3 linked regions of the Lytechinus pictus genome follow. Each later gene encodes a partner of the first gene's protein in a complex. Links are inferred from orthologs where the notes say so. Each region holds a gene or a part of one and is shown in the gene's direction. Other genes may lie near its edges. The genes, in order: MICOS complex subunit Mic60-like, MICOS complex subunit MIC27-like and MICOS complex subunit MIC19-like.

Evidence for each region.
Region 2: MICOS complex subunit Mic60-like (region 1) and MICOS complex subunit MIC27-like share a complex: the UniProt entries of both Homo sapiens proteins name them as parts of the mitochondrial contact site and cristae organizing system (MICOS) complex. The link is inferred for Lytechinus pictus from reciprocal best matches to the Homo sapiens genes IMMT and APOOL.
Region 3: MICOS complex subunit Mic60-like (region 1) and MICOS complex subunit MIC19-like share a complex: the UniProt entries of both Homo sapiens proteins name them as parts of the mitochondrial contact site and cristae organizing system (MICOS) complex. The link is inferred for Lytechinus pictus from reciprocal best matches to the Homo sapiens genes IMMT and CHCHD3.

The regions. Positions count from the first base shown.
Region 1 is NC_087256.1:25,317,245-25,324,355, forward strand, and holds the start of MICOS complex subunit Mic60-like, read left to right. Parts: upstream 1-3,998; 5' UTR 3,999-4,139; intron 4,140-5,201; 5' UTR 5,202-5,226; coding exon 5,227-5,444; intron 5,445-6,634; coding exon 6,635-6,689; intron 6,690-7,111. UniProt on the Homo sapiens protein: Component of the MICOS complex, a large protein complex of the mitochondrial inner membrane that plays crucial roles in the maintenance of crista junctions, inner membrane architecture, and formation of contact sites to the outer membrane.
Region 2 is NC_087245.1:8,321,618-8,328,670, reverse strand, and holds the start of MICOS complex subunit MIC27-like, read left to right. Parts: upstream 1-4,018; 5' UTR 4,019-4,024; coding exon of another isoform or gene 4,025-4,116; 5' UTR 4,117-4,334; coding exon 4,335-4,346; intron 4,347-7,053. Other genes in the region: pre-mRNA-processing factor 6-like, read right to left, coding at 4,025-4,116. UniProt on the Homo sapiens protein: Component of the MICOS complex, a large protein complex of the mitochondrial inner membrane that plays crucial roles in the maintenance of crista junctions, inner membrane architecture, and formation of contact sites to the outer membrane.
Region 3 is NC_087247.1:64,770,313-64,778,124, reverse strand, and holds the start of MICOS complex subunit MIC19-like, read left to right. Parts: upstream 1-4,733; 5' UTR 4,734-4,966; coding exon 4,967-5,044; intron 5,045-7,812. UniProt on the Homo sapiens protein: Component of the MICOS complex, a large protein complex of the mitochondrial inner membrane that plays crucial roles in the maintenance of crista junctions, inner membrane architecture, and formation of contact sites to the outer membrane.

The DNA.
Region 1 (7,111 bases):
TCAAGAAAGAAGGCTACACAGTGTTAGACTTGTGAAAAAAGTACAGGATTGGAAGGGAGGGTGAACGAAAGAATGAAGGAGAGAAAGAAAAGAGATGAATTGAGAAGAAAGAAAGAAAAAATGTTTGAAAATGAAGGAAATAATAAAAAATATAAGAAAGTTCTAATAAAAAAAGGATGAGAGAATAAAAATAGATAAAAAGGTTTCCGTCATTCTTTGAATTGAATATAGAAAGAAAAAAAAAAGAAAAGGGAAGATGAATAAATGTGTGAAAGTCAAAATAAAGAAGAGAAAGACAAAAAGAAAGTAAGAAAAAAGGAGGAGGAAAGAAAGAATGAAGGAAAGAAAATGTTTCCTTCATTCTTGGAAAGAAAAACAAAGAAAGAAGAAAACAGGAAGGAAGGAAGGAAGGAATGAAGGAAGAAAGGGAAAGAAAGTAAAAGAGAAAAGAATAAGAAGGACAAAATGAAATAAATAATGAAAGAAAGAAAGGAGGAAAGAGAGGGAGGAAAGAATGAAGGGAGGAAAGAATGAAAAAATGAAGAAAATAATGGAAGGGAGAAGGAATGAAGGAAATAAAAAAAAAGGAAATGTAATAAAGAAGGCAATTAAGAGAAAGAAGGAAAGAAAGAAAATGAACAGAAAGAGAGAGAAAGGATCAGGAAATGAAAATAGATATGTAACAAAAAAGGGCAAGAAGGAAGGATAGATAGAAAAGAAAGAAAGAGGAAAAAGTTCAAATATCAAGCAAATAAAAACAATCCAATCATATAACAAAAATCCTAATGATATTTGGTGTTTTTTTAATATATATTTTTAAAATTAAAAAATACTAAAATGTTTTAGAAATGAATAAAATACGGGACGTCTGGTCTGGCCGAGTCAGTCCGAAGCTTGCATGCATTCAGCACGATCTAGCTCGAGACTCGGCTGGCTCGCGATCGCTCGTGTACGTCCGTACATGTACTGTAGCGCCGATGTATTAGAGCATAGAGAGCATGCGCTCAGAGGGTGAGAGAGGGGTTTCCCCAGCTAGCTCCTTCGTCGATTAGTAGCGCATGCGCACATTGTAGTTTAGAAAGTAAGATGGCAGCCCCCATCGAACGGGACCGCTGGCGATAAATTGTCGGTAAATTGGCGCTGATTTGACATCTTTCCACTGTTTTTTGACAGGTATGACATTGTATGAGAGATAATTGGCCGATAATTGCAATTTATCAAAAAATTATTAAACTTTACTGTCAATTTATCTTTTTCATTTTCAAAACAACCACTTGCCCGATCGGGCAATTGACTTTGAGAAATGCTTGCCTGCACGTCATTTTCACTTGTCCCGGGCAAGCGGGTTTGTCGCGCCCTGTTGATAGTATTGGAAAAATATTTAGTCTTCATCGTCATCTGAACCTTTTATTTCGGAATGACGACTTTTCATAAAATCATATATTTCAATAAAAGGGGATCAAATAATGTTTTATTTAGTACTGATTGTAGAATTGATGTATGGAGCGTACTTTATGAGGTAAAAAGAAAAAAATTCAAGATTCACAAACATAACTGGATAAAATCGAAATTTTCATTATTTCCCTTATTTAGAACACTGTATCCTTTTAGAGACACCTTTCATTGATATTTCAACGAAAGAGACTCTTGTCCGACATAAAAATTGATCTAACTAAGTAATTTCGACATTTTATTAGTTCAATATACTGATTTTTTATAGAATACATATATATAATGATGATTTTGCAAATTATGCGTTAATATGTTATTTGTTGAGGTAAAAATAGGGTTTGAATGGAGTAAACAAAATCAACAGTGTCTGATTGTATGAGACTAAAAAGGAAAATATGAGAGGATGCCTGTGAAAAATCTAATTCATTTATTTTATTTGTCACATATAACGCAAGAAATACAAATGTGAGTGTTTAGAGTATAAACATACATGTACCTCAGTTGCATGATGAGTAACCGAAGACAAGGAAAATATGAAAATTGCTGCAAACATGTCCAAGTGGATAAAGTAGTGCTTTGCAATAACAATTAAAACATAGAAAAAGGTGTGCAATCCGCAATGGAAAAAATACTATTTACAGAAATAATGCTAAATATTACAATGATCATAAACGTTGGCATAGTTTAAAGTTGATCACTTAATTTATGGAAGCTTATATAAGAATATAAGGTTTGACCTGTGACCGATCGCGATCGCATGCGATGTTTTGAAATCAGCCGTGAATAATACGTGTGAGGAGAAAGATACTGGCCCAAAATCACCAATTTTGAGGATAACCAGAGGATGGAAACGGAGTGAAATACAGGTGTAGAGTAAGATATTAAGTTATTCATCTTTCTTGTTATATTTTTTTTCTTTAATTTTTACGATAAACATGATTTCCATCCCACCTTTGTGACTCAGTATATCCGAACTGGTTCACCGTCTCGATATTCGTGTAGGTGGAGCGTAGTGTAGCGGTAGTGAAGTGGAGTGGAGCCTGCACGAACATCGCTCGAGGTAGATATAATCTAACCTTGTTCTCTGACTTTGTTACTACTCCCTGTGTGGTGAAATAAGGTTGGCAATGTTTGGCTTACGCCTTACTTTTCTCTTTTTCTTTGGGAAAAATGCATGATTTTTTTACACTGTCAGTTTCCATTACAGCTATTCATCATATAACCTGGCTCTTGAGTAAATTTGATTCTTTAAATTATTTTTTCTTAATTTAAAACAGAGATTGAAAAATGACAATTGTCTTGCCATATTACTTTCCACCAATAGAGGGCGTACAAAAAAATATGCCCAAAATTCAAGTTTTCGAGCGCTCTGGTGAATACAAAAATTACTCCCAAGTTACTAATGAAAAATAAATTGCAACGTGTAATCGTGTATGGAAATAAGTATTTTTGGTCACAAAAGTGATATTTTAATGATTTCTTTTTTATTGTGTGTTGTGTACTGCATTGGCATACCATCAGTAGAGGTGCACGGCCAATATGGGAGACTGTCTCCCATGAGAGAGATTATCCCAATATTAGAGACTTTTTTAAAGAATTTGGGTATCCAATTTCAGAGACAGTCTCCAGTTTGGGAGGCCAATTTCCTTCGTTTACATTTGCTGCAAGAGGATTACCTTCCTGGCAAATAAAAATGTGATAAGCAGATTCCTCATGAAAAATTACCCCTTTTCAACGTCTTCTTTAAAAATTCACGGACTACTTTTGTTTTTAGAAGGATTTTTGTTGTCATCCACACACAAAACAAATGGGCTTCTGACCTCAGTGAGACAAAATTTTGGGTGGAAAAAATTACGCTTTTGTTGGTGTTGTTTCTTTTGTTCTTTTGCAAAGCAAGTCTCCAATGTGGGAGATTGTCTCCCATATTGGAGAGAGTCTCCCATATTGGCCGTGCGGGTAGTCCTACCTGTAGATTCCCCACAGGCAGGGTGGTTGCAATGAGCAAGTGCAAGCACATAGAGGCAGGCCGTTGTTTTCACTCGCCTTACAATAAAGAAGCTTAGTGTTTGGAATCCAGTTTGCATAAATCAAGTTGCAATGCCAGGTAATTCAAATGACTTATTACAATTTTGGGACTTCTGATTGCTCATTGGGTGATTTCAAGTTCAGTGTTGACCTTTTGGTGTTGGTGTTAGGTCAATTTTTACACGATTATAACACCAAACATAAAATGGAGATGGTCCCGAAAAGTCACTCACTAGTTGATGAGATGTCAATAATGTGATCTGGATCAGTTTTACAAACTCTGAATAAGTTTCGGAGCTAGGGGAAGCAATCCAAATTCCAACACCAACACCAAGGCCAACACCGGACTTGAAATCACCCATTGGCTTCTTCTGGAAGTTAATAATCGGTAAGCTTCTATCAATTTCAGATTATTTTACAAATGAGTCTCAAAAACAATTCCAAACAACCCCTTCCATGTATGTACCTAAAAATTGCAACCGATTAATCTATTTTGTTATCCTTTGTTGTTGGTAGGCATGTAATTGTCGGACGGCCAATCGGGTGAGCTCCAATTCTGGAGGACAATGCAGTTATTGTTCAAAGCCCAGCTCGGCCCCTGCTGGAGCTCCTAAATCAGCCCCTCCACCGCCACCACCACCGCCACCATCTGCACCAAAGAGGTAAGTCTGTTGAATCAAAACACGATTGTATTGAAGGCCTGTATTAAAATAAAAAAAAATGATTTGGTCAAAATGGCACATGGCAGAACTTTTTTTTAGGCGATTCCCTGTGTATGCTTTGTAGACTAATTGAGAAATTTACTGTATAGGCAATGCTTCTGTGAATGAATTAGTTTCAGTGAACATTGTGAATTAAATGCCAGTAATTGGAAAGTTGATTCACAATATAAACTAAGATTAATTTGTGTGCGGTGTATCCCCAAAACTTATGAACCAAAATTCAGGGATGAATACCAGAGTAATAACACAGATGTACTATACCCATGTTGATTTTCACATTAAAAATGAAATGATAGGTGTCATTTTAAAACCTGTCTAAAATGTTGCCAAACATTAAAAAAAGAAATTTATAGAAGATTATTATTTCAAGTATTCCAATTTTTGTGTATGATATGTTCACTTTGTATCATACTGGCTGCCATCACCCATGATGTATCAAAGTGAGATGATCCGTTGGTGAGGTACATGCCTCCTTGTGTTGGATAAATCTTGCCCAAGCTGTGATACTGAGGGGGCTGCGTAACATATACCATGCAGTGAATACATAACCAAATGTATATGTATGTGTGTGCTCGTAATCTTCATTCCATATGATGGAGGCATTGAATAATATGAAGCATTTCTACTCCATGCTGACTGCGGAGTCAGCAAATACCCTTCACCTTGCACTTTAAATGTTTAACCCCCAAATAGGCAGAATCATTAAACTTTCCCAGGACAATCAACAAGTGTAAAAATGGTAAAACGGGCACCGTTTCAAGGCGATTCGGTGACTGTCTGTAGGAAAAAGCGTCAACAAAACAACAGACAGACATATATAGACACATGCACCAGATTAGCCAAAGATTGCATGTTTTACACAACATGTGTTTTGTGATACTCTTTTTTTAAAATTTTTATTATATCAAACAGTCAGTTTAAAGCGTAGACCTGAATGATCTTTAGATTTACACAACTATCATATGGATTTGAAGTCATGATTTGATTGTTTTGTTCTTGTAGGTCTGGTGGTGCGGGGAAGGTCATCATGGGCGGTCTATTGGTAGGAGTAGGAGCGACCGTTGGCACGTTAGCCTACGCCAAGGCAAACCCTGAATTCAGGAAGCAGGTGGAGAGTAACTGGCCTTTGCTCCTGGACGTCTTTCCTTACTTCTTCGATGAGGATGCATCGCCGGCAGAGACCGGCAAGTCTAAAGCAGATACCATGTCTCTTGGCGGAGGAAAGAAACCGTTGATACCCACCAGGTAGGTCTTAACACGAAAGTCCCCTTCCGCATCACCGATCTTTGAGGCTGGTTGTTTCTTCAATTTTATTGAACAGTTGTAGAGAAAATGATGTTGTTGATGATGATGGGTTCTTGTATAGGGTCGATATCCGCCTCTGCTGGGCGCTCATGGCCCTTGCTCAAAAATAGGAAATGTCTCACAAATTTCAAATTTTAATTGTGTCATGTAACAGATAGCTCAAGCTTAGCTCGAGCTAAAGCTTGGTTTCTAATAATAGTGTACCTCGGATTAGATTATTTCTCGATAGATGGCACTATATAAATGTCTATTCCTCTTCTTACCTCTTTTTCTTCTTCCTTTTCTTATAATTGTTGTTATTATTATCATTATTATTAAATCAAGAGAAAAGTTCATTTTGAAAAAAAAAATTGTTTCCTGTTGTCATTGGATAGTGGGATAATGAGGGTGAATATGAATAATGAAGATATGTTTAATAAAGAATCTTTAGCAAGATAGCCAGATGCAAAATGGCATTTTGCCATATCTGTTATAGAAAAGGATTGATAGTGACAAAAGAAGAACATATGCAGGAGAGTGACTGATGAGGTGAATAGTATCTATTGAAACTGAATCAAATAGGCCGGTTTACCATATGGGTGTTCCTTTCTTTGGAGCCTAGTTACAATGTATTCATCCAACCTGTCAGTAATAAGGCATCACTACTGTATTTGGAATCCAATGTGTACATGTATGTATCATCTGTTGCTATGTCTGGCAAATCTCTGACAATTTTTTGGGGTTGTCAGGAGCAACCTGTGTTCAGAAATATGCATACAATTTTTATACATATGTATGTTAATCGACAGATCTATGAGTGAATTTGATTTTTTAAAGCACTGCAACATATGGTGGCCACGATGGGGGGGGGGGGGGCTTCCAAAGAAGTACTTTTAATGGGATATTCAATAAACCAGGTGTGTTGCTATGTCAGTAAATACATTATCTTTTGATAAGACATGAAGCCCCTCCAGATAGAAATTACCATAAAAACAGCAACCAAACCAAACCATATTGGTCTGTACTAAACTGAACTGAATAATTGTTCAACAAAAAAAATCTAAATATCCAAGTATTTATTCCTACATTGTGTTGTCTCCATCATGCCAGTATTTATCAAGCGCGCATCTCTATTTTTTTCTTCTTTGTAGCTCACCAAAAACCATCACTCCCGTCAGTGAGGCACCACTTGCTGTATCTAAACCAGTAAGTACATATCTGTTGATATTCACTAGATGTAGTTTCAAATATGAGAAGATGTGTAAATTATGAAGGAGCATGTAGTTCATGATGATTACTTTTTGTCTCGCCCACCAGAGGTGTAGGCGAGACTTAGGGATCCAAATGTTGTCCGTCCGTCCGTCACAAACCATATGACACATAACTCTGCAACTGTAAGTCACTTTTCACCCAAACTTGGGTTGTAGATGTACTGAGGAGACCTGCATGTCATGGCGCAATCAGAGGTCACATGGTTAGGTCAAAGGTCATTTTGAGGTCAATGATGTGACACATAACTCTGCAACTGTAAGTCACTTTTATACCAAACCTGGGTTGTAGGTGTACTTAGGAGACCTGCATGTTATTGTGTTTGGAGGTCTCATGGTAAGGTCAAAGTTCATTTTTAG
Region 2 (7,053 bases), on another chromosome or scaffold:
AACTGGGTGACCATACCCTGCAGCATGTCCAAGATACACGCTACCTCGGGCTTATCATCTCAGAGGACCTCAAGCGGGAGAAGCATGTTGCAAAGACTACCTAGAAGGCAAACTGGGTCTTATCCCTCCTTCGTAGGAATCTCCACTTTTTCCCTGGTTTACGTCAAACGCACTGCCTATACTGCACTCGTAAGATCCCTCCTCGAGTATGCTGCAGTAGTATGGGATCCATACCTGCAAAAGGACACAAACAGACACGAAAGTGTCCAAAGGAGAGCAGTTCGCTTCAACACAGGGAACTACATGTATGTGTCTAGAGATGAGGGTTTCATCACAAACAAGCTAGCAGAACTACATCTCCCAAGCCTCAAGGAAAGAAGAAGGAACCTCAAACTCACCCTCTTCTTCAAAGTGGTCGGGAGGTTGCTGCCAGCTCTCCCAATCCAAAATTTTGCTCAACCTATAAAATCCAAACGACGTATCCGTGCCAAACAATTTGAAATCTGTGACACTACAAATAGGCAAGTGACAAATAATAACAAGTGCAACAATCCAATCAGAGCACAAACTGAACAATGAGGAACTCGTTCTCCCATCCAATATCATTGAGTGGAATCACTGAGTGACGCTGTCATCAATATTGACAAGCTCATTCAAGGCCATTGACAGAACCTTATAATCCTCACTCCGCCCTCTCTCACCCGATGTGTTTACGCTCAGGAGGGCCCTGCATCGTATACATCCAGATCCAATTAATTTTTCTTTTAATTTCTTTTTGAGTTTCAATAATTGATATTAGAGTATCCCAAAGGTCAAAGGAAGCCCCCTGTCAGCAATGAAGAGACAGGACGTCTGGAGTATGGTAGTGGATCGTATTACCGAACACTTTTCATGAATTCAGTCATATCAAACACATTATTCTCTTAAAATTCATAAATCTTTCACCAAAAATACATAATTACCTACAAAATATAAATATGTAAAAATTTTGCTGAAATCGTTTTTTTATTTTACGGTATTAGCTTCCAATCGGACCCCTCTTCGCATGAAATATTTTGGTCACTTGAAAAAGGTATGGTATTACCGAACGTGTGTTTTCTATGGGAAAAATTGAGAACCCAACAAAATCACTAATGGGCTATTTTGACCATATTTTATTATTTTTAGAATATTAAGATTTTTTGAAAATGTGCTTTTGACCATTTTTCATCATCTTTCTATTCAAGTTCTCTTTGGAAGGATGTTGCAAAGTTTAGAGCATATGAAATTATTTTCTGACGCGTACGCTGCGCGTGTGCGGTAATACAAGGCCGGTAGGTAATACAATCACTCACTATCGAACGAGGGACAGGATCCGGGTAATCTGGGGCCCGTTTCTCAACACCGTCATAAGTCTAACTTCTTGACTAAATCGGAGATAGTGAGCTACTTGTCCGCTAACCATTTCACAAAGCCCTCTTTACCAAGATCGGGTACAACAACCTCACTAAATATTTATGACACATCCGAACCTGTCATAACTTCTTTCTCGATGACGTAGTGGCATCACGTGGGTAGACTATGACATGCAAAAGTGCCTAGAAATTTTAAATTATAATCTTACGTAATCGATCATAGAGGTTGAAAAGGACATCACAAAACAAGTGGGATATGCATTCAATGATAATTGTAATACAAAGAAACTATAAAAACTGTTGGTAAAACGCCACAAAACCATTCATTTTGAAATAGTAAAATGATTTAATCGATAAAGATTCGATAAAGATTCTAGCACGTCAGGCCATCCATAACTGAACTTGTATTTGTTGTTTTCAGACCCCTATTAACAGTTGGATAAATTCTATCTCTAATTTATGCATATAATTTGTCAAATATCGTATGTTTCGGTATCAATGATTAAAAATGTTTTGTTATTCTATATTTTGATGATGTTTGGAATCGTAAGAGACCGTATAATTATAATCATTTTACAAAAAAACCCATCATGGTTTACTTTCGTAAACTATTGAAATTGGATATCCCGGGGGTACCCATCTCAACGTCCAGAAGTGATTTTTTAGTCATGAAATTAATTATTCATAATTTAATTTTCTCTGCAATTGAATGCTCTAGTCTTCATGGTCTAAGTATGTATGATGCATAATTCACCTGTGCTATTATTTTGAAAAGATTTATTTCCCAATTCATCACAATATTTGCAATTTTGTCATAATTTTTCTTTTTGAAAATTATGATATTTTGTGACTAAGGCTACGTCTAGTTTTCTCTTTTTATCGATAGTATCGATATCAAGGTATTCTAGTTAGGAAGCCTTTTGAGAAACAGGTTTAGTAAGAGTGGTTGGTGGATAAAGATATGACAAACTTGTCCAGGTGTTGAGAAACTGGCCCCAGGGGCCCGTTTCTCAACACCGTCATAAGTCTAACTTCTTGACTAAATCGGAGATAGTGAGCTACTTGTCCGCTAACCGTTTCACGAAGCCCTCTTTACCAAGATCGGGTACAACAACCTCACTAAATATTTATGACACCTCCGAACCTGTCATAACTTCTTTCTTAATGACGTATGGCATCACGTGGGTAGACTATGACATGCAAAAGTGCCTAGAAATTTTGCAATTATAATCTTACGTAATCAATCATATAGGTTGAAATTACATCACAAAACAAGTGGGTTAATGCATTCAATGATAATTGTAATACAATGAAACTATAAAAACTGTTGGTAAGACGCCACAAAACCATTCATTTTGAAATAGTAAAATGATTTAATCGATAAATATTCTACCACGTCAGGCCATCCATAACTGAACTCATATTTGTTGTTTTCAGACCCCTTTCAGACAGTTGGATAAATTCTATCTCTAATTCATGCATTCAATTTGTCAAATATCGTATGTTTCGGTATCCGCAATGATTAAAAATGTTTCATTGAACTACATTTTGATGACGTTTGGAATCGTAAAAGACCGTATAATTATCATCATTTTACAAAGAAAACCGTTATGGTTTACTTTTGTAAACTATCAAAATTGGATATCCCGGGGATACCCATCTCAACGTCCATAAGTGACTTTTTAGTCATGAAATGAATGATTCATAATTTAATTTTCTCTGTAATTGAATGATCCAGTCTTCATGGTCTAAGTATGTACGATGCATAATTCACCTGTGCTATTATTTTGAAAAGATTTATTTCCCAATTTATCACAATATTTGCAATTTTGTCATAATTTTTCTTTTTGAAAATTATGCTATTTTGTGACTAAGGCTACGTCTCGTCTGCTGTTTTTACCGATAGTATCGATATCAAGGTATTCTAGTTAGGAAGCCTTTCGAGAAACAGGTTTAGTAAGATTGGAACTAACTCCGCGGTTGGTGGATAAAGATATGACTAACTTGTCCATGTGTTGAGAAACGGGCCCCTGTAAGATACGATCATGTAAGTTAGGATAATAACAATAAGAATAAATTTAATATTCAATAAATCACCTAAATGACCTAGACTTCTAACTTAGATCTAAAAAATATAAGAAAAGTGGGAGAGTAAAGATTTAGGAAAAGAAAAAAGCCAAGGATAGAGAGGAAGGAAAAAAGAAACGAAAACTTTTTGTTTCTTGTTTTTTATCTTCATAATCTTGGAGTTGGAAAAGAAAGAAGGAAAAAAAGTAATGAACTGGCGGTAGAATATGACTGGCCGCCATTAACTATTTTATACCCAACAAACAACAACGTATCAGTATCACCTCACAAGTCTGACTGAGTCTGAGCCCGAGGTTGCGCTGAGCTGACGAAACCGAAACGGTTATCGGCGCGGCCGAGGCGAAGTTCAGATCATGGCCAGCCGGCCAAGCGGGGCCCGGGGCAGGCAAGGCTAGGTTGAGGCTCAGGTTACGGTGGCGGTACAGACAGTCAGTGCTATTACTATACATGCTATAATATGTCCAGATACCGAACTGAAAAATGTACGGTACACTGGCGCTTGTTGACTAGTCTAAAAAGGAACAATACATTTATCTACATACCCTCTACCCAATCCAGGAACATAGCCCAATGGAGCGGGCATGTTCATGAATTCCCGACGTTTCTTGTTGACGAGTGCACCGGGCGCTGCCATCTTGAACAGATATCGACTCGATTTTAAACCGGTACGGTACTTGATGACACGTACGGTACCGCCCGGATATGGAGCCCGTATATCGGTTCACGTATCCGGTTCGGTTAGTTATAGTCCACGAATTGTTTCTGAGACGAGACTGAGTCGTCAGTCGAAGATAAATCAAATTCTCTACTTGATCTAGTACTAAAGGCCCAGGGTAAAGTGTGAATTCAGCAATGTCTAGACAGGTATAGTAATACCATATTTACACAAAATTTATGATGGCGTTTATTTCTGAATACTGAGCGAAATATGCAGAGTTCTAACGTTACAATACAGTTAGGTCCTACACAAAAACAGTTTCTTCAACGAGTGGGACTGAGCTGAGCAGTGAGTGAGACTGTAAAAATATGTATGAAATAGGGGGGGGGGGGCATGTTTGACGTCTGCCTACGCTACGAATTGTTTCTGAGAGTGGTCTGAGCTAGCTGAGTTGAAGTTAAATCAAATTCTCTACGAGATCTAACGTGTTGGATCTACTAAGTCTAAAGGCCTAACCCAGCCCCAGGGAGCTCCCGCCCGCTCAGCGGGCGCCCGCTGCGCGGGCGGGAGTTCCCTGGGTTACTAAAGAGTAAAGGCCCACTCACACGTATTGCGAGGTTAGTACTAGTACTAGTATTACTAATACTACTACTAGGGACTAGGGTGTCTGAAGCCACACTAAAAAGTGTCAGCATAAAACAGGCTGATTTAGGGGAAAAAATTGCACATTTTTTCGGGAAGTTCAGGGGCCCGTTTCTCAACACCGTCATAAGTCTAACTTCTTGACTAAATCGGAGTTAGTGAGCTACTTGTCCGCTAACCGTTTCACGAAGCCCTCTTTACCAAGATCGGGTACAACAACCTCACTAAATATTTATGACACCTCCGAAGCTGTCATAACTTCTTTCTTAATGACGTAGTGGCATCACGTGGGTAGACTATGACATGCAAAATTGCCTAGATATTTGAAAATAATGATCTTACGTAATCAATCATAGAGGTTGAAATTACATCACAAAACAAGTGGGATAATGCATTAAATAATTCTAATACAAAGAAACTATGAAAACTGTTAGTAAAACGCCACAAAACCATTCAGTTTGAAATAGTGAAATGATTTAATCGATAAAGATTCTACCACGTCAGGCGCCATCCATAACTGGACTCGTATTTGTCGTTTTCAGACCCCTATTAACATTTGGATAAATTCTATCTCTAATTTATGCATAGAATTTCTCAAATTGCATGTTTCGGTATCAAATATTAAAAAAAAAATATTAAACTATAGTTTGATGATGTATGGAACCGTAGAAGGGCGTATAATTATCATCATTTTACAACGAAAAACGTTATGGTTTACTTTCGTAAACTATTAAAATTAGATGTCCCGGGGGTACCCATCTCAACGTCCACATGTGATTTTCTAGTCATGAAATGAATTATTAATAATTTAATTTTCTCAGCAACTGAATGCTCCAATCTTCATGTTCTAAGTATGTATGATCCATAATTTACATGTGCTGTTATTTTGAAAAGATGTATTTCCCAATTCATCACAATATTTGCAATTTTGTCATAATTTTTCTTTTTGAAAATTAGGCTATTTTGTGACTAAGGCTACGTCTCGTCTGCTCATTTTACCGATAGTATCGATATCAAGGTATTTTAGTTAGGAAGCCTTTCGTGAAACGGGTTTAGTAAGATTGGAACTAACTCCATGGTTGGTGGATAAAGATATGACTAACTTGTCCAGGTGTTGAGAAACGGGCCCCAGGCTGCTAGAAAAATGTGATCTGAATTGATTATTAACTTGTGTTTGGCATGTATGTATGGAAAGAGAAAATTCAGGGGCTTCTTTTGACAGTAAGGACAAGTTTATATGATCATTTTAAATAAGGATTTAGAGATAAATTGCAAACCCTTATTTGTGTGTGTGTTGAGATTGCCATTTCCCCATGCGTTTTCTATGGGAAAATGAAATGTCTGTTTTGCACAATTTTTTTCACTTTGTCACAATTTTTCATTGTGATCTGGTTTCCAAATCTTTATAAAAATCATACCATCAGAAAGAGCATAAAAAATCCTATTGGACTCTTTATGGACAAGTTTTTGGCATTCATGATAAATTTATAACACTACAGCTCTCGGAAGCTAAAAATTTGGAATTGTGTGTGTCCATTTCTTAACTACCGTACTCAGTCTATGGCAGAGAAATGCTGAAAATTGACCTAATTTCATTCTTCTTTTTTGCAGCCAATAATTTGATTTTTTCAAAAATGTTACATTTCTGTCAGTTTGAAGGTCACTTCTCTTCAAATTCACAAAGAAAATGTGATATTTTCTTGAAATAAGAAAAATAATTTTTTTTCTCCAGACACCCTACTAATACTAGTATACTAACCTCGCACCATGAACCGCGTTTGGCAGTGGATTTCTAACTAGTGGGTCGCGAATGCTGGGATCTCACTTCTGGTGTCCACAACACACGACTTCTATGGCTTGATTTTTCTGTGCGCGGTGGCATGTAATGAACCCTGGCTTGGGTGCTAAGGCCCAGAGCTGCAGAGTAAAGTGTGAATTCAACAATACAGCTGGCAGCCGTCCGTTTCAAGGAGTTTTTTTTTACATTTGTATTTTTTTTAAAATATCTCCTCGTAGTCGTACACAGACGGCTCGCGATCGTGCAGCAGCCATTAAATTAGGGTCGGAGGATAAAAATGCAAAATCCTCCCGACAGGGCTCATTGAGTTTTTTCTTTATTTCATAAAAATATATAATAAGAACGGGACCAAAATAAAGATTATTAATATTATTCTGTTTTGGCCCGAAATGCACCAAAACAGGAAAAAATAAACTTAAAAGGACAAAAACAGTGATTTACGTCGGCTGTCTCGCAACTCCTATTCCTTGGTT
Region 3 (7,812 bases), on another chromosome or scaffold:
ATTTAAAAGGAGGCGAGGCAAGTTTCAATGGAGGTTTTTAAAAAGAAAAAACTGTACTACAAATTATGAAGCCAATTTAAAAGGAGGTGAGACAAGTTTCAATGGAGGTTTTTAAAAAGAATAAACTGTATATGGTGAAGCCAATTTAAAAGGAGGTGAGGCAAGTTTTAATGGAGGTTTTTAAAAAGAATAAACTGTATTATGGTGAAGCCAGTTTAAAAGGAGGTGAGGCAAGTTTCAATGGAGGTTTTTAAAAAAGAATAAACTGTAGGATGGGGGGTCGGGTGTCCGGACACTTTATATTTTTGAAGCCTTCTTTTTTGTCTTTGGATTACACTAAAAATATGAATTCAATAGTTGTAATCATCTTCCATTTTGGTCGCTATAATATTTCCTTACATTTTGCACTAAACATTGATGAAACTTCGCTTGTAAATTTTTCCAAATGACTTTCTAAAATTGATCGTCCGGACACACAACCTGTCCGGACACACAACAACTGGGTATACTACAAATTTAAAAGGAGGCGACGCAAGTTTCAATAGAGGTTTTTAAAAAGAATAAACTGTACTACAAATTATGGTGAAGCCAATTTAAAAGGAGGTGAGGCAAGTTTCAATGGAGGTTTTTAAAAAAGAATAAACTGTACTACAAATTTAAAAGGAGGCGACGCAAGTGTCAATGGAGGTTTTTAAAAAGAATAAACTGTACTACAAATTTAAAAGGAGGCGAGGCAAGTTTCAATGGAGGTTTTTAAAAAGAATAAACTGTACTACAAATTATGGTGAAGCTAATTTAAAAGGAGGTGAGGCAAGTGTCAATGGAGGTTTTTAAAAAGAAGAAACTGTACTACAAATTTAAAAGGAGGCGAGGCAAGTTTCGATGGAGGTTCTTAAAAAGAATAATAATGAACTGTACTACAAATTATGGTGAAGCCAATTTAAAAGGAGGTGAGGCAAGTTTCAATGGAGGTTTTTAAAAAGAATAAACTGTATTACAAATTATGGTGAAGCCAATTTAAAAGGAGGTGAGGCAATTAGTTAATGGAGGTTTTTTAAAAGAATAAACTGTATTACAAGTTATGGTGAAGGCAATTTGAGAGGAGGTGAGGCATGTCTACAATGATTTTTTTTAAAGAATGATAAGTGTAGAATATAATTCAAATGATGAAGCAAGTTATGACATTTTAAAGTTTTGCTTAATTAAAAAAAACAGTTATATGCACATCCTGGTCTGTATGCACCTGAGGAGACTGATGACGTCATCCTCTCACTATTTCTTTTGTATTTTATTATAGGAAATATGAAATATTCCAAGTTTCTCCTTAATGTCAAGTGATACAACGATTAATTCCTCCCTGAACATGTGGAATTAGCTTTGTTTAATACTATATGGTTCAGTCAAGTATAGTGGGATGATAATGATGATGAGGAACAGGGCCGGTATTCAATGCTACTCTTAAAGCCACAATTTCAAGTATATTTTACTCAGTATTTTGCAAAAGTAAAATACTTATCCATCTTTGGTATTCAATTGCATTTTTTTTGGGCTAAATATTTTGCTTAAATGTAAGTCAGCCATCTACTAGACTTAAGTCTACATATACAAAAATGATACGCACAGAAATACATTCACACATTTGGCACTATTTGGCTCAAAATTTATAACATCACAATGGGTATTAGTATTTAGTTCAATTTGGATAAGGTAAATTCTGAGATCTGATCTGCATACAAGTTTAAGCATTTTGATAAGCCAGCCAAATTGCTAAGTAAAATACTTACAAAATCAAAACTGAGAATTTAATAGGCGGCCGAGGTATTATTTTCTTCCAGCAGAGGACATGTACAGATTTCTTGTTGACAAAGGATGACATGATGATTATTTTGCAAAACATGGCTTATTAAAAAATATATTATATATATTCCATTTCAGTGACAATTGCATTTTTGGGGAGGGGATATTACGTATTTGGGAATGGAAAAGTTCAAAATTAATGCAAACTTAACCTATTTACGCAGGGGGGGGGGGGGGGGCTCTGAGCTCTGCGATTTAAAAAAAAAGAAGTCTTTTGCATGTTTTGAGACCAGTTTTGCGAAGCCCGGGTACTGGGTTCTGAAAATTACCAAACAATTTGTAAGTGCATATCAGACAAAAATGGCTCAAAATTGTGATATTTGTGTACCACGTCAATGGAATATGCGTTTTCAACCAAAATTCATGAATGCCTAATTGTTTTTAGTTTTGTTGAACTAAACTGTTTATTTTATGCTGTTACGAGAGTCCGAGCATCGTTGAAAAAAACAATGCAATACAAAGGTAAAAACACAAGAAATACGTTATCGAAGAACACCACAAAGAGTTTCTAAACCAAAAATTAGAAAATTTGGAGCTTTATTTAGGGAGTTAGAGGAATAGGTATAGTATACTAATTATGCACAAATGAGCATAATCAATTAATAGCAATTTGCATGAAATAAATAACTACACAATTTTGTGGATTATTAAAAGCAATTGCGATCTTTTTCTTCACTATTCATTGTTTTTAGAAACCTCATTGTAGACTTGCCTCATGCACCTCTCAAGATGGCTTCATCATTTGAATTATATTCTACACTTATCATTCTTTAAAAAAAATCATTGTAGACATGCCTCACCTCCTCTCAAATTGCCTTCACCATAACTTGTAATACAGTTTATTCTTTTTAAAAACCTCCATTAACTAATTGCCTCACCTCCTTTTAAATTGGCTTCACCATAATTTGTAATACAGTTTATTCTTTTTAAAAACCTCCATTGAAACTTGCCTCACCTCCTTTTAAATTGGCTTCACCATAATTTGTAGTACAGTTTTTTCTTTTTAAAAACCTCCATTGAAACTTGCCTCGCCTCCTTTTAAATTTGTAGTACAGTTTATTCTTTTTAAAAACCTCCATTGACACTTGCGTCGCCTCCTTTTAAACTGGCTTCACCATATACAGTTTATTCTTTTTAAAAACCTCCATTGAAACTTGCCTCACCTCCTTTTAAATTGGCTTCACCATAATTTGTAGTACAGTTTTTTCTTTTTAAAAACCTCCATTGAAACTTGCCTCGCCTCCTTTTAAATTTGTAGTACAGTTTATTCTTTTTTAAAAACTACCATTGAAACTTGCCTCACCTCCTTTTAAATTGGCTTCACCATAATTTGTAGTACAGTTTATTCTTTTTAAAAACCTCCATTGAAACTTGCCTCACCTCCTTTTAAACTGGCTTCACCATATACAGTTTATTCTTTTTAAAAACCTCCATTGAAACTTGCCTCACCTCCTTTTAAATTGGCTTCACCATAATACAGTTTATTCTTTTTAAAAACCTCCATTAAAACTTGCCTCACCTCCTTTTAAATTGGCTTCACCATAATTTGTAGTACAGTTTATTCTTTTTAAAAACCTCCATTGAAACTTGCCTCACCTCCTTTTAAATTGGCTTCACCATAATTTGTAGTACAGTTTATTCTTTTTAAAAACCTCAATTGAAACTTGCCTCGCCTCCTTTTAAATTTGTAGTACAGTTTATTCTTTTTAAAAACCTCCATTGACACTTGCGTCGCCTCCTTTTAAATTTGTAGTACAGTTTATTCTTTTTTAAAAACTACCATTGAAACTTGCCTCACCTCCTTTTAAATTGGCTTCACCATAATTTGTAGTACAGTTTATTCTTTTTAAAAACCTCCATTGAAACTTGCCTCACCTCCTTTTAAACTGGCTTCACCATATACAGTTTATTCTTTTTAAAAACCTCCATTGAAACTTGCCTCACCTCCTTTTAAATTGGCTTCACCATAATACAGTTTATTCTTTTTAAAAACCTCCATTAAAACTTGCCTCACCTCCTTTTAAATTGGCTTCACCATAATTTGTAGTACAGTTTATTCTTTTTAAAAACCTCCATTGAAACTTGCCTCACCTCCTTTTAAATTGGCTTCACCATAATTTGTAGTACAGTTTATTCTTTTTAAAAACCTCAATTGAAACTTGCCTCGCCTCCTTTTAAATTTGTAGTACAGTTTATTCTTTTTAAAAACCTCCATTGACACTTGCGTCGCCTCCTTTTAAATTTGTAGTACAGTTTATTCTTTTTTAAAAACTTCCATTGAAACTTGCCTCACCTCCTTTTAAATTGGCTTCACCATAATTTATTCTTTTAAAAAAACCTCCATTGAAACTTGCCTCACCTCCTTTCAAATTGGCTTCACCATATACAGTTTATTCTTTTTAAAAACCTCCATTGAAACTTGCCTCACCTCCTTTTAAATTGGCTTCACCATAATACAGTTTATTCTTTTTAAAAACCTCCATTGAAACTTGCCTCACCTCCTTTTAAATTGGCTTCACCATAATATTCAGGTAAGGTATTCATTCTTTTTTTAAAAACATCATTGTTCACTTCCCTCACCTAGATCATTTGGCTATATATATATAATACCTTTTATTCTACACTATTCTTCCCTTTAAAAAAAAACCTGATTGTACTCCTGCCTCCCCTGATCTGACATTTGCCTCTCAACGTACTGTACATATAGTGTTATTTTATTATCTCTTTATATCGGAAACTTCGTTTTACCGAATTGCCATGCACTCTCTCCGACGCGTTTGAAGTCTTAGACAGCATGGAATACTACCAGCCGATGGTACACACACGCACACACACACACGTTATTTGACAACTTGTCTCTGGAGCCAAAGTTCCTCGCATATAACTATCTGCATGCCTGCACGCAGTGTGTATTGAAAACGCACGACCACGATCTAATGAATATTCATCGGCGAGAGTGACGTCATTTTACGAGTCTCCTTTCAAACTTGGATCATAAGTGCCTACCGCTTCGAATTCGCGACATCGACACTAGTATTATCTATAGTATTAGTAGTATAGGTAGATCGCCAAGAAAGGTCGCTTTCACTTTAATTTACCTTCTGCAAATATGGGAGGGAGTAGTAGTACTAGTAGCCCTGGGAGAAGAATTAGTTTAGAACAAGATGCTGACGGAGGAGTAGTTAAAGTGAGTGAATATATTACTTGTTTCTGACTTTCTCGGCTCGGTCTAGGGTCCCTAAAACTAAAGTAAAAGCTCCGGGCCGCTGCGCGGGTTACGTCTAACGTTAACTAGTTAACGTTAGACGTAACCCGCGCAGCGGCCCGGAGCCCAGGGCCAGGGGCTTACCGTGTAATTCGCCATACCCCACGGTAGTAGCGTGAGGTATGGTCTAAATCATTTTAAGAGTAAATACTTAAAACAGAAATTAAGCACTTACCACGATTATATGGATGAAGGTCTAACGAGTGGCAGCTTCCTGACATCGATGCACAGACTGGAACCTCAAATTAACGAAAAGTTCTGTCGCGGTAGGCCCCTAGACAGTAGACCAAAAGCTTCGGTCTCTGTTAGTGTTATGTTGGTTGTTCAGCTGAACTCCGTTGGCTTCACTCACCAAATACAGAGACCGAAGTTCTAGCGCGATCTGTACAGGGGACTCAATGGCCATATGTTTAAGTTCGGATAAAACAGGGCAGTGAAGTTGCACGACAGCCAAGGTAAGTCACTGTTTTTGTTCCTTTTAACTTGATTTTCCCCGTTTTTTGGCAATTAATGCCAAGAGGGAATATTAATTTGCATTTCGGTTGCGTTAATTTTCAAAAGTTTGATTCATTAAAGACAAAAATTGAAGAGCCCCGACGGGGGGATTTTGCATTGTAAGTCCCCTAATGGTGGCTGCACGATAGTGAGCCGTCTGTGTAACTATGAGGAGAAATTTAAAAAATAAAAAAATGTTAAAAAACTCCTCGAAACAGACAGCTGCCAGCTGTCTACATTGGTCTACTGTCGCGGTAGCTCTCCTTCTTTCAAAATTCAAAACAAAATGGCCGATCGAGACAGGCTATAGCACTAGCGCATATAGACTTCGTCAAATTCGCGCATGTGCCCTACACCCTCGGTACTGGTCTCGAACGGCCATTTTGCTATGAATTCTGAAAGAAGGAGAGCTACCGCGACAGAACTTTTCGTTTTTTGAGGTTCCAGTCTGTGCCTCGATGTCAGGAAGCTGCCACTCGTTAGACCTTCATCCATATAATCGTGGTAAGTGCTTAATTTCTGTTATAATATAAGTATTTACTCTTAAAATGATTTAGACCATACCTCACGCTACTACCACTACCGTGGGGTATGGCGAATTACACAGTAAGCCCCTGGGCTCCGGCCCGCTGTGCGGGCCGGAGCTCCCTGGGTTACGTTAGACGTAGACCAAAAGCTTCGGTCTCTGTTGTGTTGGTTGTTCTGCTGGGGCCTGTTGCATGAAAGGGTCTTTCGTAGAACCATTCTACGGAAGAACGAGATATCGCTCAACTGTTTCACAAAGCCGATTTGGGCGATACGAAGAATGGTCCTTGGAAAGACACCTCCAGACATGTCCTACGTAGCCGTAGGCTAGACAGGAATAACCATAACCGTCGTTTCTTGGGATTTATTCAACATTTTCTGACATTTTACTATATTGGTGAGACTGTCTGAGAGAGCCAACTCGGTCAGACTCAGTTCAGCGGAACAACCAAAGCAAAATACAGAGACTGAAGCTTTTGTTCTATACGTAGGCATGATCTTCTTTGCACACCGCCCGCCACCGTCGGCATTGAGAATGAGAGAAAATACGTTTACGGCAAGCCACATTGACATATCATCTTTAACATTTTTGGGGTTGCACACTGATGCATTTTATCTGGGATGGCGCCAAGTTATTTTTTTGCACGGCAAGTCGACCAAAAACGGATGTCATTTTAACTTCTCCGGGGTATTTTGTCCGGGGGTAATGTAGGCCCAAATATTTTTTTAATATGTTTTCTTTTATTCTCCCTCCGTCCTATCCCCACACCATTTCCATTAATTTTTTTTTAAATATCGAAATGGGCGGCACTATCTTTCTGACCCCTCAATGCTTTCTCATTAAAGATAATTAAACAACATGAAAACAAATTTCTTTAAAGAAAAAAAAACTTGGTAAAAAACTTGTTTATAACGTTCAGCAAAAAAAAAACACGATACAAAACTAAAATGTTAAACATGGTAAATCATTTATTTATTTTTATTTCATTTTTATGATTATAATTATTGTTTTTTGCAGAGATTAATTTTAATGAATGAAAATTAATTGTCGGATTTGGGCTAACTTGAGATGTGAAAGAGTGAAACAAAACAAAAAATCTGCAGTAACAAAAAAGCTAATTGAATTTAAGATACAGATTGGTCTATAGCTTTCGAATCCATCACAATCATTACAAATGAAGATAAGTTCATTAAAGAAAAGATTATGGAAAGTCCATACGAAGAAGCGCATTTTAAATCGTAGGGTAGGCCCCTTTCGGCCCCTATGTAATGTTAATAATGTAGTCTCTTCTCAACTTTGACATGTTGAACATATATATTTTTTATATTCTTATATAAGCTTCCATAAATTAAGTGATCAACTTTAAAGATGACCAACATTTATGATCATTGTAATTTGTTAGCATTATTTCTGTAAATAGTATTTTTTCCATTGCGGATTGCACACCTTTTTGTATGTTTTAATTATTATTGCAAAGCACTATATCCACTTGGACATGTTTGCAGCAATTTTCATATATTCCTTGTCTTCGGTTACTCATCATGCAACAGAGGCAGGGTGCTACATAACTTTTTTGAAGCACTTGCCCAGTCGGGCAAGTAAATTTTCAAATAGTTGGAAAATACTTGCCCGAATATAGATTTCACTTGCCCGAAAAAATCCTTCATAA